Arabidopsis thaliana: one gene and its partners. The protein of the gene in region 1 purifies or fractionates together with the protein of each later gene. This does not show direct contact. Each region holds a gene or a part of one and is shown in the gene's direction. Other genes may lie near its edges.

Region 1 (7,052 bases):
GTCTATAATCATAATAATTTAATATCTTTAATAACACCATACCAACATATATGAACTTCATACGTTAAAAAATAACTTGAAAGAATCACAATCGTTATAATTTACCGTTTATTTTTCTTCCTATCATTTTATAAAAAACAACTATATTTTCTAATTGATCGACACACATTTCACCAGCTAAATTTGTTATGAAATCAACATGTTAGAGGATTTGTTACAAATTTAAGGTTAATAGTGCTCAAGAAAATATTTAAAAATATAGAAAGAGTGATGGTTGAAGTTCTTACTTATGATAGGTTCATATGTTGAATTAATTACTAATTATATTTTACTTATTTTAATAAGTCTAGGTGGCAAGCTCTCATGTGCTGATGTGTCAAGTTGTGGGAGAGAGTTGAGCTCCTTTCATATATATAATTTACGTTATATTTTGCCTCTTAAGTTTTGTAGTGACCATCATAATTTCTCTTTTGATGTCTTTGTGGGCAAATGAGGTAATCTAGAAAGAAATTACATGGATGAAGATGATATAGAACATACGAGATCTGATGAATGACAGATTACTATAGTTTTTCTTTTCCCTAGTTAATGTTGTTAATAAGGGGATAATTTTGCTAAATTTGGTAAAAGTACATGAATTATATATGATATGTGATTTAGTCAAGAAAAATTATGTGAACCTGATTAGATTTTACCATGTCTCAGGTTTTCAAGAATGCAATTTTTATTTCCATGGACTAGTTGAAATAGTTACCTATAAAATATCTTATGACATAAATCGATCTAGATATGATCTACATACAATTAGAACGCTTAAACGTGGAAACTTAATTGATGATATGCTTTATGGTGATCAAGAAGAAGATATCAACAAAGTGTTGAGATACTAACAAAAATAGTTTTTTTTTCTTGTTGTTATAAATATTGAGTCAGACTTTAAGTTACACGTATTTGCAAACTATAGTTTTGTGTTAGTTTTTTTGATATCAACACATTTCTATTTATTTGGCAACAAAATACTTTTCATAAGAGCATTTCTATGTCATATATTATAATTTATGTGATAAAGATAAAGATCACGATTTCCCGATTGACAAAGAAAATCTTATGAAATATGGAAAACATGATATGAAACACATCATATGTTTCTCATTCGTCAAGTATTTTTTATATGATATATAAAACTTTCTTTCTTTCTAGAATCCATGGCTCTTGTATAAGGTAGATTGTCTAACTCGTTACTCTAGATAGTATATTATATGAAATTTGTTTCGTAAATATTTTTCCTTAAGATTGGACTACCAATTATGAAGTAATATTTTAACTAATGTGTGGTTGACAAAATATAGAAAAAATCAAGAATCCAACCACATGTTGAGAAAAAAAATTTCTACTTCAAATACACTTACTTATTTTTATTATTTAGTCAACGAAATATTAATTTATTTATGGACATATTTTTAAAAATACCATAAAATTAATTTTTGTTATAAAACATTATTAGTAGTTTATATTTTTTTGAAAGTACCACTAAAATATATTATTTTCTGAAAATACCACAAAATTACTTTTAAAGTTTTCAAAACTAGATCCTAAACTCTAAAAAATAAACCCTAAACCCCAAAAAACTTAACTCAAACCCAAACATTTAATAAATTATAAACCCTTAAAATCAACTTTTTGTGTTTCAAGTATTTTTTGGGTATCTCTCTAATTTATTTATTTATTTCAGATTGCTCAAAAGAATAAATAAATAAAAGAATTTGGCTGTCTCATTTCCTTGTTCGGAATCGGAGAAGAAGGAAGACTAGATTCGATGTGTTGGTGAAGAAGATCTCGACTTTGTTCAAAATTCCAATTTCGCTCGCCTCAAAGATCATTCTCTCATCTTCTCGACTTTGATGCGATTGATTAAATATGGTGGATACGGTTATTCCCGGAGATATGGCTTGTTTGGATGCAGATTTGTTGCAGCTTCAGGAAATGTCTTCCTTTGTTCTCAATTCTAAACCTGGATTCACTCAGAAGCTCTTCGACCAGTGGCTTTCTCTTCCCGAAGCTCAGCGACAGGTTTCTGCTTTTTCACTATTCTTACACTCATGCTTCTTAGCTTACTCTCTGTTAGTTCGAATCTTTCTTTCGTAATGTTACAATGATACTTCGGTTGCTTACTTACTCTGTGGTGTTGAGGATTGGTGTAAAGTTTGAATCTTTCTTTGATACTGTTAGTGGGTATTACAGTGATGCCTTAGGTGGTTACTGATATTTGGTTGCTTAATTACTCTCTGGTTTCTGTTGAGGATTGGTGTAAAGTTGGGATCTTTGATAGTGTTAGTTATTACAATGATGCTTAGCTTACTGAGAATGGTGTAAAGTTCGAATATTTCTCTGATTGTGTTAGTGAGTATTATAATGATGCCTTAGGTGGTTACTTAGATTCGGTTGCTTAATTACTCTGTGGTGTAAAGTTCGTATCTTTCTTTGATAGTGTTGGTGAGTGTTACATTGATGCTTAGGTTACTGAGATTTACTCTGTGGTGTTGAAAGATTGGTGTAAAGTTTGAATCATTTTTTGATTCTGTGAGTTATGACGTATATTCTTATTTTCTTATGTGAGTATTACAATGAAGCTTACGTTAATGAGATTTGTTTGCTAAATTACTCTGTGGTGTTGAAGATTGGTGTAAAGTTTGAATCTTTCTTGGATTGTGTGAGTTATGACAATGATGCCTTAGGTGGTTAATGAGATTTGGTTGCTTAATTACTCTCTATTCACTGGAATCTCTAGTCTAATCTTTTTCTCGTTGGTTTTCTAGGTTGGATCATTGCTTAAGGATGCTGTAGCTGGAGCTCCTATCAATGTTACTGGAAGTGCATCGGGTTCTAATTCTGCCACTATACCATCTATGTTTCCTGCGGGAAGTGCTCCTCCGCTTTCACCAAGGAGTTGTGGTTCACCCCGTACAACCAAACAGAGAGCCCCTTCTAACTTAGGTTCTACTCTCAAAGTAGTCAACGAGCCTGTTAAAGAGCCTATACCTCAGGTTTCTTTTCCTCTTTTTCTTCCTTCTTTATATATATATAGTAATGGAATGGAGTTAACTCACTGATTTCTTAACTTGAAATGATTCTAGTTTTATTTCCAAAATGGTCGCCCTCCACCAAGCGAGATTAAAGAGCAATGTATGTTTAGAATCAATCACTTCTTTTATGGTCACATGGATGGCTTGCAGATACAAGGTTAGAAGTCAGTCATTTGTTTTCTACTAATTATATTTGAACTGTTTATTAACTTTTTTCTCCATTTTCAATCAATACTCAGAATTCAAGTTAGTCACCAGAGAAATCTGCAAGCTCCCATCTTTCTTCTCCACTTCCCTTTTCCGGAAGATCGATCTCAACAATACAGGTTTTGTTACTAGGTGTGTGCCGCTTCTTCTATGCTTTTTTTTTTTTTGTATGGTGCTTCCTCTTCATGTCTGCATAGTTTACTGAAACACCACCCAGTATAACAGTTTTTCGTGTTTGTTTCTACAGAGATGCATTTATTGATTTTTGGGTAAACGGGAACATGTTGATAATGGATACAACGACCCAAATCTTCAAGATACTAAAGCAGAAAGATCAGAGTTTCATTGTTAAGGTTATTTTCTTTTAAGATTTGCATATTCAGTCAGTCATGAGAGCGAGTTTATTATATTCCAGATTCTTTTCTTTTTTTCATGGCAGGATGATTTCAAACCACTACTCAAAGAACTGTTGGCGACGCATCCTGGGCTAGAGTTCCTGCAATCCACACCTGAATTCCAAGAAAGATATGGTTAGGTCTCAACTTTATTTACATTTTTAGTATCCTAAGTTATCTCATGTTTTCTTTTTCCGCTTGGTATTGCTTGAGTAATGGTGTTTAGTAATTGAGTTTGGTTGTGCATTTTATTCTTTGAAGTATATTGGTAGCTACAGCCCTAGTTGAGAAGAATGAGTGAATAAGTTTGCCACTTTGGTATGATGTACTTATCTAAATCTGTCAGATGGTTACCAGATCAATAGTATTTCTTCTTGATATTGCTTGAGTAATGGTGTTTAGTAATTGAGTTTGATTGTACATTTTATTCTTCGAAGTATATTGGTAGCTACAGCCCTAGTTGAGAAGAATGAGTGAATAAGTTTGCCATGTACTTATCTAAATCTGTCGAATGGTTACCACATCAATAATATTTCTAGTGAAATAAATAATTTTGATAATTGATGCATCGAGATACAGTAATAAATGTGGCATTACTCTGTATGGATTTTAAAATTTTTATAAGATACGGTTTCTTTGTTTTGTTGTGTTAGACATCATCTTATAACTTGCAAATCCATAAAGCTTTCAAGCACGGAATGAATCATCTTCAGTCTATGAATCCTGCAGATATAATCAATATCAGAAAAAATAAATTCTGGAGCTTGTTTATGAATCATGCGTCAGTTAGTAATGAATTCCCGAGAACACTTTGATTGCTTTCTAGATATCTGGAGTCCATATTCTTTGGTATTTGCTGCTACCGGTATCAAAGCTAAATTTTTAAGGATGCTTTTCTGTCTGATACAATTTGTATTTTGCTGAAACAGCTGAAACTGTCACCTACCGAATATTTTATTACATAAATAGATCTGGCAATGGTCGAATTACATTTAGGGAGCTTAAACGGGGAAACTTAATTGATGCTATGCTACATGCTGATGAAGAAGAAGATATTAACAAAGTGTTGAGGTACTGACAAAAATATTTGCGTGCTATTGTTGTATTTATAGTATTGTTTTTGCTCATTTAACATCACTTTTCTATTCACTTTGGCAATTAGATACTTCTCGTATGAGCATTTCTATGTCATATACTGCAAGTTCTGGGAGCTGGATACGGATCACGATTTCCTGATTGACAAAGAAAATCTTATGCGATATGGAAACCATGCTCTTACCTACCGGATTGTCGACAGAATATTCTCCCAGGTTCTGTCTAAAAAACCTTGCTCTTTAATGCCTACTACTTGAAGATTTTATTTATATTGCTTCTATTTTAAGAGTTCTTTCCTCGTTCAAAGTTATTATTGCTCTTAAGATGCATTGGTTTCTTCTCAGGTTGCTAGGAAGTTCACTAACAAAGTTGAAGGGAAGATGGGGTATGAGGACTTTGTCTATTTCATTCTTGCGGAAGAAGATAAATCGTCAGTGCCTAGCCTAGAATATTGGTAAGTTGTGATAGAAGGGTCCGAAAGTTGCAGACAGATACCATTTTAAGTCTTTTATCTGACACAAGTATACGTTGGACTAGGTTTAAGTGCATAGACTTGGATGCAAATGGGATTATTACGCGAAATGAGATGCAATTCTTTTATGAAGAGCAGTTGCATAGAATGGAGTGCATGGCGCAAGAGGCTGTTCTTTTCGAGGATATCTTATGTCAGATGATTGATATGATCGGACCTGAGGTTCAACAATATATCTCTTGTTTTCTTCTTTCTATATTTAGTATAGTCACAGAAGTAGTTTGTGTTCCCAGTTTTCTTTCTGAGTCTTGTGATTTTGTTTTGTGTTTGATTGTTTTTTATTTCCTTCCACAGAACGAAAGCCATATAACGCTGCATGACCTGAAAGGCTCAAAGCTCTCTGGAAACGTCTTCAACATCCTATTTAATCTCAACAAATTTATGGCATTTGAAACCCGGGATCCATTCCTCATTCGTCAGGTACTAATCATCTAATTTACCTTGCTACTTCTTCACACCACCACATGCGTCTTATAACATTTCTAATGTCAAACGGAAACAGGAGCGAGAGAACCCTACATTGACAGATTGGGACCGTTTTGCACATAGAGAGTATATTAGGCTATCAATGGAAGAAGATGTTGAAGATGCATCTAATGGAAGTGCTGAGGTTTGGGATGAGTCGTCGCTGGAGGCTCCCTTTTGAGTTCATAAAGGTAAGTCAACGGAAAACCGTAGTGTCTAGAAGATAAAACTAGTGGAAAAGGATTAGAAAAAAAAGAAACTGAAAAAACTTTGATGTTGATGCTTGTGCAAATGTTATTATTTCATAATATAACTTAATCATGCAGAAGAGAAATGTAAAGTCCCTGAGAAGAACATTTGGAGCTTTGTTGAGGAAGGAAAGTGAAAAACAAACGAAAAGCCGGTAGTATCCTCTGTTGAATACCATACTTAGCTTGGATTTGTTTTCTAACTTCTCTTTATTTGTTAGCTGATTCTACAGTTATATTTATTAACAATCGTCTAGATTTTACAGTCTTCTTCACCTGTATTGCATTCACTTTGCTCTGATGTTTCTATCTCTGGGTGTTACTTCATCATCTCCAGATGTTGAGACTTGTGAATTTCAATGCTATAGTTCCTTTAATTTTTGGTTGGTTCCTGAAGACACAGGATGTCACTGAGATGAGAAGAGGTTGGTTGTGTTATTACTATTGATCTTGAAGTGATGTCTTTTTATTTGTGAAATTCTTAAGGAAAAGCCACTTTGCTCTGTTCAGTTGATCTTCAAATCTTCACATCGGAATCGGTTTAGTTGGTTTGCGGTTGCTCTGAACTGTTTGTCAACCAAACCTCCCTTTATTATACTGAAAACTCTTTGTGCAACAGATGAAGAAAAAAGGAGAGGAGTCTTATTATGTACATAGTGTGGAACTCGCAAAGTTACCAGAACCGATCTTTATTGACACTGAGATAACCAGACATGACTTTCCCACCCGTATTCCTCATACCATCGATGAGGAAACACCAAGTGGAACCCAATGCTCCGACGAAGAAATCAGCTTCTGACGCCATTAAGAAGTTAACCAGAGGATAGTTTGTGCTCATCTCTCTCCCGAGGCTCGCTTCATACTCAGCCATCGACTTATTACCGACTTGTCTTGCCACTTCCGTGTAATAGAATCTCCAGTGAGCATAATCTTTACTTCTGTCCACCACTTCCTTCATCTCTGTAGAGAGCCAGATCCTGTTGAGCTCTGGAAACCGATCTCTGATCCGATCAGCTAAATGCATGTA
Region 2 (5,929 bases), on another chromosome or scaffold:
AAAATTTCCAGATATCCGGAATTTCGAATATCCGGAATTTTTTGTGATATTTGCGGATATCCGCTTTGATACATTTAAATATTAAAAAAATATGTATACTATATAACTATATCATATATTCAAAAAATTTATCCGTGCGTTCCTTAATTGGTGTCTCCGTGTGCTTTTAAAATAAGTTCTAAATACCAAACATAACCGTTGTTGGTATCACCGGTCAACAAAATATTATCAAACTAATTCCAAAACTAAAACCCGATAGTTTTTTGATGCCATTGATCAAAACATAACATAAAAAAAAATGATCAAACAAACATCTTAACATAAAAACATAAAATGACAACAATACACAAACTATTTATGATATCTATATATAGATATACTATATTTTCTAATATATATAAAAAGATACGGATCGAAGCGGATATTCGATTTTTTAAAAAACAATATTTATTATTTGATTCGATTTTTACGAATACTATATTTTTCTATTTGCTTTGCTCCAAAATCTTACGAATATTCGGATTTTTCGAATCAAATTAAATCAAATACCGAATCGAAACGGATCAAATCAAATCAAATCAGAATATTGAGCTAGCTGAATGAATGAGATAACCTAAGAATCCAAAAGTTGATAGTGTTCCCTTTCCGAATTCCAATAGTAGCTTGATAACATTTATTTAACGGCGATAAATTCAACCGTTAGTTTGATTACCAATCAAATAATTGCTTGCAATAGACGGATGAAACGAGTGGTAAGAATAGGTGATTGAAACAAACGGTTAAAAGCTTAAACAAAATAGGTGAGTTTGCAACCTCTCTTGTTCACCATTGGAATATTTTAGTTATTTAACGTTTCTTAGATTTTTAAAACTGTAATGTATTTGAATTATTTACTAAAGAGTTTTGTTTTTCTTTGTTTTTTAAATATTTTTAGTTATTTATTAAATATTTTAATTTAGTTTTTTTTTTTTACTGTTTAACCGTTTGTTACTAATCATAACTATTATTTAACGGTTCATTTTAAATTATTTATCATTTTTTCTTTTAATATATTTTCTAACCGTTTTTTTTTATCAGTCTTTTTTGTAAGTGTTAAATAAAATAACCGCCTTATTTAAACGATATTACCAATTGGTTTAATTTTAGGTTGTTCATCTTTTCTAACCGTTTTTTTCTACCCGCCTTTTTCTGTAACTGCTAAAAAACATAACCGTCTCATTTAAACGATGTTTACCCATTGCAAACCATTTTCCTTAAACAAGCGGACAATATTTAAATTGCAATGAAAGCGAGTTATGAGTTCTTTTGGCCTAAACTTCCCAATTTTATCTCTCTTTTTCCCACTAATCTTCTAACAATTTTAATTAACAGTGACAACTTACAAGTACTTAGGTAACCAAGTATATTTCCCTATTGTAAAACCTAATTATGAGTTGTGATGATCACCTTTTCTCCTTTTGACGAACGCTTAGGACCTAACTTATTGCAACAATGGCCTAACTAAAACTTAAATGCGATTTGCATTCAATTCTCAAATGGGCCTCTTTAGTTAACATGTTATCTCCGTTCATCTGACGTGTCATAGCTCAGATCAAAGGTTAATCTACTCGTAAATCCAACGACCAAAGAAACGAAGCGTACGTTACTAACATACACGTGCACGCACTGTAACCATCTCTCTCTCTGCTCTTCTCCTTCAATGAAATGATTCGTCACCCAAAGAAAGATCTGCAACTTCACCACCGGACCAGTCTCTCTCTATCTCTTCTGTCTCTCTACCTCGCGCGACGAATCAATCATGACTGAAGAACAAGACCTCATCGACCAATCACCACCACCTTCAGCACCCGACCCTGAACCAAACTCGAGCACGAATCCGAATTCAGTAATCCATCCAAGGCGTGTGTCTTTCGAGCACGGACTCCTCCCGATCCAGAAACTCGTTTTCACCGACCCGATCCAAACCTTAGCCCCTGTCAAGCAGAAGCTAGCCGATGCGGCTTCGAATAACCGCGTTGGATCGGCTGCAATCGCCGACGTTCTCCAGATCTCCGGCGACCATGCGCGTCTCGTTCTCGAGACTCTCGGTTCGGTGCTTCATTCCGAGTCTGACCCTCTGGTTCGGGCGAAACCTGAGGAAGTTGATTCCGTCGGAGCTGATTTGCGGGATCTTATTTTGTTCCTGTACATTCAATCGTATAAGAAGTTGCTTCCTAGGACGCATAAGGACTCCGCAGCGGTGGCTGATGTTTGGCCATCGACTTCAGCTTTTGATGGATACTTGTCTGCGTTATCGCCAATTCAGGCAAGTTTCTTACTTTTTTTGGCCCTCTTATTATAATGTGCCTCAATCCCAGCGCCTGCGATTTGTTTGGTATTGAAATGGAACTGTTGTACTCGAGTATGGAATTGGAACGTGGTAGAGAATAACTTATTTCCATTTCGCATTGTATTTAACTAAAATTTGCAATGCAAGTTTAAGTTTTCTGAGTCATTTGATTTACCTGAAACTTAGAGTTAAGCAATGTCGGAAATTTGGGTGATTAATTGAATTGATGGTGGCTATAGTTTCGTAACAATTCTCAATGAGGAAGATGCTTACTTGTATTTAATTGCCAGTCCCCTTTCTCTGATGACTCTGGGGCAATGGTAATTGGTTAGTTTACTAACTAAAGTCAAACAGTCGCCAGCTTGCTTTGTTTTGTGGTTCGGAATCTGATTCTTTTTCCGTTGTACCTTATTTTGTTTGGTCCTTTCACGTGGTTTATTTGGTGATAATGCTTGGTGTGTTCTTGAATTTTGACTCGGGTCTCCAGTCCTGTAATATTCTGTTTCCTGTGTGGTATGGATGTTCTATTGAGTCTTTTAGAAAACAGTCATATAATCTTAAGCTTTTCAGTGTTTTCTACAGTCACTGTTCTTTGGTATTCTATCGTTTCTCATCACATGGGTCGAACCAACTTTATTGGAGCTAAAATTGTTATTTATATCTCCTTTTCATCATTTCTGCAGCTTGTTCGCAGCAACAGCCGTCGATTTATGCCATCACAGGCAGATGATGAAGCTCATCAGTTGTCATATCTGCAAAAACATTTAGCAAACATCATTTCTCTCCTTGCAGAGCCTGTGGAGGGAGAAGGAGATGAATCATTGGTAAGTTCTAATCTTTCTTATATTCTCAGGGGGTGTCACTGTTCTAAGCTACAAGAATATAAAATTCTGATGTTGGAATAAGAATTTTTTAGGAAATGAAAGAGAACACAAGTTAATTTTTTTTTTCTTGTCCAATATCGTTCAGGTTTTCTCTATGGAGGCGTTCGAGCATCTGCGTTTTCTTGTTCAGTTTGGTGATAAGGGATCTGATGTATCTCCATTGAGCCAAGCTACTCCTTTTTTTGCAAATTCTGATCCGGATATGCCCGCTGTTCCAGTCCCCGCTTCCCAAGTGCATGACTGGCTTCTGCAAAACATAGCTTCCGCTTTAGAAAGCATTACTGAGAGAATTTCTGGAAAAGAGAACGGACCTTCTAACGATCAAGATGATGCGATGTCAGATGTTTGTGCTGCTCCGAACAAGGTTGCACCTAGTACTAGAGGCCCGTGTTTAATCGAGGGAGTCTCCAAGACTTCACTTGTTAAGCAAGCCTCCGATCTAAGGGGTAGATCTGTGAAGGTCTGACTGTTCCTTGTTCCGTTTTTCTTCCAGTCATGGAATCTCTGTGCAAGCATGTCAACTCCTTGTTTTGTGTATTTTTCAGGTTGTCAATTGCCATGATTCTGTAATTTATCTTTTAGCACCATTGCGATATGCAACTGTGCACGGATGTTCTGATACTACTATAGTTTTGGGAGCTGTTGGCAAGGTATGGAAACAATGCTTCTTCCTTCTTTATCTTTTCTGAAGATAGTCAAAGCAACATTTAACAAGTTATAATATCTGCCAACTTTTATTAAAAGATGTATCAAACATAATTCCGTATTTATTTCTGCAGGCAATAAAAGTTGAGCACTGTGAAAGAGTTCATGTGATTGTAGCTGCCAAACGAGTGTGCATTGCCAATTGTCGTGAATGTGTATTCTTCTTGGGAGTCAATCAGCGGCCACTTATTGTTGGTGATAACCACAAACTGCAGGTGAAGCTTCTCTTTAAGATTGTGGTTTAATTTACAAGTTTTATGTCATGTTGCTCTTATTTACCTTTCTGATATTAAGGTAAAAAAAATTGAGTGGCTAGACTTTTTACTAGATTTAGTTTGGTTAGTTTGGTTAATAAGCCGTTTCGGACACGTCATCAAGTCTAGTGGAAACAAACTTGGAGGGGTGGCTAGACTGCTGCTAGATACGTTTAGTCAAATGTTTTCCTCAAGAAGGTTTTACTGGTTTTTAAGAGTGCGGGCATTGTCAGATATTGCTTCTAGTGATTATGGGCTTCTATTTTTAAAGTGCTGGCATCAATTTGACTTTGTTTCAGGTCGCTCCATATAATACATTTTACTCTCATTTGGAAGAGCACATGAGGGAGGTAGGGCTTGAGCCAACGATCAACAAATGGGACAAACCATTGGCCCTGGGAGCTGTGGATCCACATGACTCCCTGTCACATCCTGCCGGTGTTGCTGATGCACAGGCTGAATCAGCTGCTTCTGTAGACCCTGACCAGTTCGTAAACTTTTTGGTACATTTTCTATTTGGGTCTAACATTTACGTCAATAATTGGTGAATGCTTTTCAGTGTCATGAAGCATCTAATGACGTGTTTTTCGGTGGTATCAATGACAATGGCACAGATCCCAAACTGGTTTAGCGGCGCGGAGCTTGGTTCGACGAAAGACAATCCATTTCCATTGCCAGATGCTTATATGGCAGCTCAGCAGAGAAACGTATGTTTTAAAGTTATACTTAACCAGATAAACAAATGCATTTGTTATTTTTGTCCATATCTGATCTTGTATCTGCAATTTTTTTTGTCATCAGCTTAAGAACTTTGAAGAAACAAGACGATCGTTAAAAGAGGCGCCTCTAGAAGAAAACCGGAAACGAGAGCTATCAAGTGCACTCCATGTTTATTTCAAAGACTGGCTTTACGGTAAGAAAACTTTCTCTGAATCGATCCCTACTTTACTTTATTGATATGCATCATTCATTAGGTTTTGACTTAGTCTATGTTTTTGTTGCGACAGCATCTGGAAATATAAGGCAACTCTACTGCCTACAAGGTGACTAATAAGAATAATAGACCAAGCGGAAAGTGTCTTGTTCATGTAGAGCTCCTTCGATCATATTTGGCATATTGCTAGTGAAGAAACCCCACCCCAAGACCAAAAGAAAAAAGAAAAAAGAGAAATCAGCCTGATTCAGTGATTTGTAGTTTGGAACCAATACTTCACAACGTAACTTATCTGCACAGAAATACTCTCTTAAAGCTTTCGTTTAGATTATTGTTTTCTTGATTTCTGCTTTTCTTTCCTTGACATTTCAATCCATCGTTTTTGTTCCCTTCTCTATTGAAAATCTCATCTTCAAATAGAGCATGATGACTTGAATTGTTATAAGTTATAACTTGTAAGCAAAACTGTTTTGATAGATAGTCTTGTCTTGGTCAAATAGATTTAAGTGGACGCAAGAGTTAGGCTACTACCATGGTAGGTGCAAATTTCTGAAGAAGTTTTAGAGCTCCAAAATTTCTCATATTTGCAGAATCTCATATTCGTAGAAACATCCAAACAATGCAACATAACATGAACATCTCAAGATACAAAAACAGAAGGACATGGGATGGAACAGAGATATCCATGAGCGCAGGATCCAGCTAATAATGAGTTCTTGCTACTTTAGTCATTGTAATGTGTGCTCCATTGAAGAAATCTCTCTTAGCTCTAAAGTTCTGCACCAACTGTTCAACACCAATGAACACCTCCAATGGCAGCAAA
Region 3 (5,538 bases), on another chromosome or scaffold:
TCTGCCGCCTTACTCTGTCAAAGGAACAAAGATTGTCATGTTCACTGGTAAGAATAGTTTACCTCACTGTTTTTCGTCCAGACAGAAAACAATACTCATATGAAGTATAAAATAGGCAGAAGCTTACAGGTTTTCTAGAAGTCGGTGCCCTCCCAGCAACATTAGCAATTCCTTGACTGAACGAGCAAAAAGAATTTAATGAGACCCTGAGTTTCGTGAGCTAATAGCTAAGAAAGAACAAGCACTCTCGTAACCAGTATCTAGACATGTGAGCTAGGACTAGTTCAGCTAATCCTTAAGTAGGTCAGATTTTCAAGGCAGAGGTACAAGAAAAGAGTGTGCAACAAAGAAACAGAATCTAAGCATTCACAAGGAACTAGAAATGTGCTCAAGTAGTGCAGATGACCTTTGTGCAGGTGAATAACCAATTGTGTTGTAAGCAGAACTACTCATTCCAGGAGTTTGAAAGCTGCCAAAACCTGCTAGTGCCCAAACGTGCAAGAATGTGCAGTGTGAGTTTTCAGAAACGTGAAACCATGTTGACGGCACTTAAAGCCCAAGTGTGAAATCTTAAACCAAAAAGAGCTAGCATGCATGAGCGTGATGGTCATGAAGATTGGAAGTTTGAAAATATATATACTACACAAACATTCAGTTACAAGAAACATAAAATACAGAAGGTTACAAGAAGCCTCAAGATGAAGGTGTGTGCCAATGATCTTACCAGATTCAGTAGTAGTGTTCCAAGACTTGAGTTTTTTCAAGCTTTCCCAACCATCATCTACCATATCACAAAAATCACAAAATAAAAATTAACACAACAATAGCAAAGGTCAAATTTTTATTGAGCTACCGAACCGAAAGAATCCTACTACTTGCCTGTTCTTGAACGCTTAGATTTGGGATTTGATTTGGCAAGGTCAATGTGAAGAGTAGAATGCTTTTCAAGATCAAACACCATTCCCTGAAAGGTTCAGAAATAAAATTCAGAAAGTTTCTTAATCTAGGCAAATGACAAAGCTTATTCACTTACGCATACAAATCCCAACCGAATGATTTCAATTTACTAGATTGAATTAAGAACAACCATAAAGATACCAAATTTACTTAATGCTTTGTAAGTAGATACATCGGCGACACATTGCAAGAGCAAGTTTGAAGAAATTTGTACTCACATTGAGAGCATGCATCACCGCTACAGCTGATTGCAGATCCGAGAACACAGCAAATGCGAAGGGCTACCAAACAAATAAAGTAAGATTCTCAGTCTCTTCGCCGGGAAACATCATTACCCAAATCACAAATCCGGAGAGATAGAAAATGATTACCTTAGCTCCATCTGAGCTCCGGAGATGCGAAGTCTCATATCCTGGGAACTCACGAAAGAGATTGTAGATCTCCCGAGGCTTGACATCTTCAGGAAGTCCGGCGACGAAAAGCGTCCTAACCTCATCGCGAGCTCCAATTGAGACATGGGTAGGCAAATAGACGGAATGAGCTGAAGTAATTGGAATCGGAGAAACTCCCGGCGGCGGAGGAGGAACCATCGCCGGTAAATTATAGTGAGAATAGTAAGCTTCCAAATCATCCATTGACAACGACTTAATCTCGTGGCCGGTGAAAGTCGCAGTTTACAACGGAGAAGAAACTAATCGCGTTACTTAATGGGCCGTTTAAAGCCCATTTAAATATCGGCCTTTTTGACCCATTGTTCATCACCAGGCGTAGGATAATAGCATGTGGTTGCACACACTGTAACATAACACTCTCTCTCTTTTTTTCTTCTTCTTGATGACAATTGTTCCTATGTTCAAAGATCTGCAACTTCATTCATAACAGTTCTTTTTCTCTCGTTCTCTGGTTTAAAGCATAATGACGGAAGAGCTCATCGACCAATCACCACCACCTGACCCAGACCCGATTCAAAATTCGAATTTAATAATCCACCCAAGACGTGTTCCTTTCGAGCACGGCCTTCTTCCGATCCAGAAGCTCGTTTTTACCGACCCGATTCAAACTCTAGCTCCGATCAAGCAAAAGTTAGCTTCTTTGGCGACGAATCATCGCGTCGGATCTGCTGCCATTTCCGATGCACTCTCGATCTCCGATGACCATGCGCGCCTCGTTCTCGAAACTCTCTCTTCGGTGCTCCATTGCGAGACTGACCCATTGGTTTTGGCCAAACCTGAGGAAGTTGATTCCGTGGGAGCTGATTTGAGGGATCTGATATTGTTTCTCTACATTCAATCGTATAAGAAGTTATTGCCTAGGACGCATAAAGACTCTGCTTCTGTGGCTGATGTTTGGCCTTCGACTTCTGCTTTTGATGGATACTTGTCGGCATTATCTCCAATTCAGGCAAGCTTTTTTATTCTCTTAATCATGTAATGTGGCTCAAAACGTTATCTTGTGATCTATTTGGTTTAAAAAATTTCATTTTGCATTGGATTTTACTATAATTTTGCAATGCAAGTTAAATAATATTACGTTATCATTCAGAAACATATGAAAAGGATTGTCTGATATTTGAAATATTTTACCGATAATTGTTCTCATTACTGTTTCTATCATATGGGTAGAGACATCCTTGTAGCTGTTGAGTTTAAGTTAAATTTCCTTTCATCATCTTGCAGCTTGTTCGTAGCAACAGCCGTCGGTTTATGCCATCACCGACAGATGAAGAAGCTCATCAATTATCGTATCTGCAAAAGCACATTGCAAATATTATTTCTCTCCTTGCAGAGCCTGTGGAGGGACAAGGAGATGATTCTTTGGTATGTGCTAAACTTTTTTTATGTTTGTATCAGATGGATAGAAAATTTTATGTTGTGATGCAATATTATGGGAAATGGAAAAGAACGAATATCTCATGCTAGATGGTCCGAATCTCCTCCTCAGGTCCTGTCTATGGAGAGTTTGGAGCACATTGGGTTTCTTGTTCATTATGGTGATAAGGGATTTGATGTACCTTCTTTAAGCCAAGCTACTCCTTTTTTTGCGAATTCTGATCCTGATATGCCCGCTGTCCCCGTTCCTGCTTCCCAAGTGAATGATTGGCTTCTCAAAGACATAGCTTCCGCCTTAGAAAGCATTTCTAACAGAATCTCTGGGAAAGAAAATGGGGCATCTAATGCCTCTGATCAGAATGCTGCAATGGCTGATTCTAGTGTAGCTCTTAATAAAGTTTCATCTAACGACAGAGGTCCATGTATTATTGAGGGAGTCTCTAAGACCTCACTTTTCAAGCAGGCTTCTGATCTTAAGGGTAGATCAGTGAAGGTCCGTATTGAACAACTAATTTGCATTTTAAACAGCAATCCCTCATTTAGTTTCGTTTACTCATGTATGCACGTCAATTGCATGTTTTGTGTATTCTGCAGGTTGCCAATTGCCATGATTCTGTTATTTATCTGTTAGCGCCATTGAGATATGCAACTGTGTATGGGTGTTCTGATTCTACTATCGTTCTGGGAGCTGCTGGCAAGGTACGGCAAATATACTCCTTTCTGTTTTAGTCTTTGTTAGCGAGGTTCAGGTTAGAATGCAGTGATAATATTTTATGTTCTTTGCAGGCAGTAAAAGTTGAGCATTGTGAGAGAGTTCATGTGATTGTAGCTACCAAACGAATTTGCATCGCCAATTGCCGTGAATGTGTGTTCTTTTTGGGAGTCAATCAGCGACCTCTTATAGTTGGTGATAACCACAAACTACAGGTGATATGTCTATTTAAGATTGAGCTGCATACATAACTCTTCTTTCCCGCCCTGATATTCAGCTGAAATTAATAAATAGACTACAGTTTTTCTTTTAACTCTAGGCTAAATCTTTCCTGTGTTAATATCCTGGTATAGTCATGATCGTATTAATGGTTCCTGGTGTTTGGAAAATTGAGCATGCTGTTAAAGTCACTTCTTCAACTGAGTTAAGTGGAAACATCTTCTGATGTGTTGTCTATAACTGTTGGCATCAATGTGACTGTTATCTGTTCCAGGTTGCTCCATATAATACATTTTACTCACACTTGGAGGAGCACATAACCGAGGTAGGAATTCAGCCAACTATCAACAAATGGAACGAATCCTTGGCGCTCGGAGCAATTGATCCGCATGACTCACTATCACATCCGACTGGTGCCTCTGATAAACAAGCTGAACCGGCTTCTTGTGTGGACCCTGACCAGTTCACTACCTTTTTGGTTAGATTCCCCTTTTTGTTAGTTTAATTTTCCTCTAGTAACTAGTGATATTGGTTATTAAGATTGTGTTCGTGGGTTAATTTCTCACATCAATGTCTCTGGTTCAGATCCCAAACTGGTTTGCGGGTGAGGCGATTGGTTCCACGAAAGACAATCCATTTCCATTGCCAGATGCATATAAGGCAGTGCAGCAGACAAACGTATGTTTTTTATTTGCTTTCCGCATAAAATTGCTCGTTTCTTTTTCATCCATACTTCAGCATCTGATCCCTTAACTGTGTTTTGGTTTTGAGCAGCTTAAGAACTTAGAGGAAACAAGACAATCCTTGAGAGAAACACCTCTCGAAGAAAACCGAAAACGAGAACTCACTACAGCGTTCCACATGTATTTCAAAGACTGGCTATACGGTAATCAAATAAAATCCCCATTCTAGTTCATTTACTCCTTTGGCCAGCCAATGATCTATATGTATCTCTTTCTTTTGGTGACAGCGACGGGAAATATTCGGCAACTTTACTGCCTACAAGGCGATTAAGACCAATGGCGATTGAAAATGTCAGAGTCACTGTAGAGTTCTCTTGATCCGTTCCTTCTCAGAGATTTGCTAGCACGTTTGACATCAGAATTTAACTGCACAGCACGCTCTCTAACTCCTAAAGCTCTGTTTTTTTGTGTGTAGGTTTCTCTCTGCTTTTATCGTATTTATTAGTCTTAAATATCCACGTTTTTGTCCTTGAAAAACATTAAGCCATCTTGTCTTGTTGTTGATTTCTTTCAATTGTTATAACAACTTTTCTCAATACCATATATATAAATCTTTTAGTAACTACTACTTGGGAATTTTAAATATTTTGAATTTTCTCTTAAGCATCACATTCAAAACAGGCAGAAAATGTGAAAACATGTCTGCCTCAATTGTTTTCTTTGTCTTGTCTTAGCTTGTTGGAGGAAAGAGCTTCTCTGCTTGGTCCGGGAAGAACTGTATGAACAAATAAGCACCTGCAAGTTCAACAAAGTCTTACTCATAACCAAAGGAAAGACCAAACAACATTCTCTATATTCTTCAGCTCTATGTAAATTAAACTTACAGACGAGTACTGTCCCTAAGACTGCTGAGATCTTGCCTTGAATTGTGATAAGCCCTGCTTTGCCTGCATTCTGCAACTCAGTGGAACCGACGGATTCAAATGTCCCTAAAGTCGCAACAACAGTAAATCCGATTCATTATCCTTCTCAAACCAAACTATCTCCAAAACCCCTCAAGAAATGATCTTAGATGAAACCAAATGGGATCAAACCTGGTTTTACAGATTGTAGCCCTGATGTTACACAAGCAATGTTT

What was found.
Region 2: the proteins of AT5G28900 (region 1) and AT3G57890 fractionate together in Arabidopsis thaliana (co-fractionation; one large-scale study listed by BioGRID). This does not show direct contact.
Region 3: the proteins of AT5G28900 (region 1) and AT2G42230 fractionate together in Arabidopsis thaliana (co-fractionation; one large-scale study listed by BioGRID). This does not show direct contact.

The regions. Positions count from the first base shown.
Region 1 is NC_003076.8:10,923,935-10,930,986, forward strand, and holds AT5G28900 (Calcium-binding EF-hand family protein), read left to right. Parts: upstream 1-1,700; 5' UTR 1,701-1,917; coding exon 1,918-2,070; intron 2,071-2,816; coding exon 2,817-3,044; intron 3,045-3,134; coding exon 3,135-3,240; intron 3,241-3,322; coding exon 3,323-3,422; intron 3,423-3,537; coding exon 3,538-3,643; intron 3,644-3,729; coding exon 3,730-3,820; intron 3,821-4,614; coding exon 4,615-4,756; intron 4,757-4,847; coding exon 4,848-4,995; intron 4,996-5,124; coding exon 5,125-5,234; intron 5,235-5,317; coding exon 5,318-5,474; intron 5,475-5,606; coding exon 5,607-5,732; intron 5,733-5,814; coding exon 5,815-5,958; 3' UTR 5,959-5,968; intron 5,969-6,103; 3' UTR 6,104-6,528; downstream 6,529-7,052. Other genes in the region: AT5G28910 (alpha-(1,6)-fucosyltransferase), read right to left, coding at 6,699-7,052.
Region 2 is NC_003074.8:21,436,473-21,442,401, forward strand, and holds AT3G57890 (Tubulin binding cofactor C domain-containing protein), read left to right. Parts: upstream 1-1,611; 5' UTR 1,612-1,798; coding exon 1,799-2,305; intron 2,306-2,816; coding exon 2,817-2,924; intron 2,925-3,012; coding exon 3,013-3,153; intron 3,154-3,298; coding exon 3,299-3,673; intron 3,674-3,758; coding exon 3,759-3,863; intron 3,864-3,992; coding exon 3,993-4,133; intron 4,134-4,471; coding exon 4,472-4,675; intron 4,676-4,786; coding exon 4,787-4,879; intron 4,880-4,973; coding exon 4,974-5,085; intron 5,086-5,179; coding exon 5,180-5,223; 3' UTR 5,224-5,416; downstream 5,417-5,929. Other genes in the region: AT3G57900 (import inner membrane translocase subunit Tim17/Tim22/Tim23 family protein), read right to left, coding at 5,809-5,913.
Region 3 is NC_003071.7:17,592,898-17,598,435, reverse strand, and holds AT2G42230 (C-CAP/cofactor C-like domain-containing protein), read left to right. Parts: upstream 1-1,770; 5' UTR 1,771-1,872; coding exon 1,873-2,358; exon of another isoform or gene 2,359-2,538; intron 2,539-2,633; coding exon 2,634-2,774; intron 2,775-2,898; coding exon 2,899-3,279; intron 3,280-3,380; coding exon 3,381-3,485; intron 3,486-3,572; coding exon 3,573-3,713; intron 3,714-3,851; coding exon of another isoform or gene 3,852-3,857; intron 3,858-3,991; coding exon 3,992-4,195; intron 4,196-4,302; coding exon 4,303-4,395; intron 4,396-4,491; coding exon 4,492-4,603; intron 4,604-4,687; coding exon 4,688-4,731; 3' UTR 4,732-5,025; downstream 5,026-5,538. Other genes in the region: AT2G42240 (RNA-binding (RRM/RBD/RNP motifs) family protein), read right to left, coding at 1-14, 128-176, 407-479, 725-781, 880-964, 1,176-1,238, 1,329-1,592; AT2G42220 (Rhodanese/Cell cycle control phosphatase superfamily protein), read right to left, coding at 5,131-5,195, 5,285-5,389, 5,495-5,538.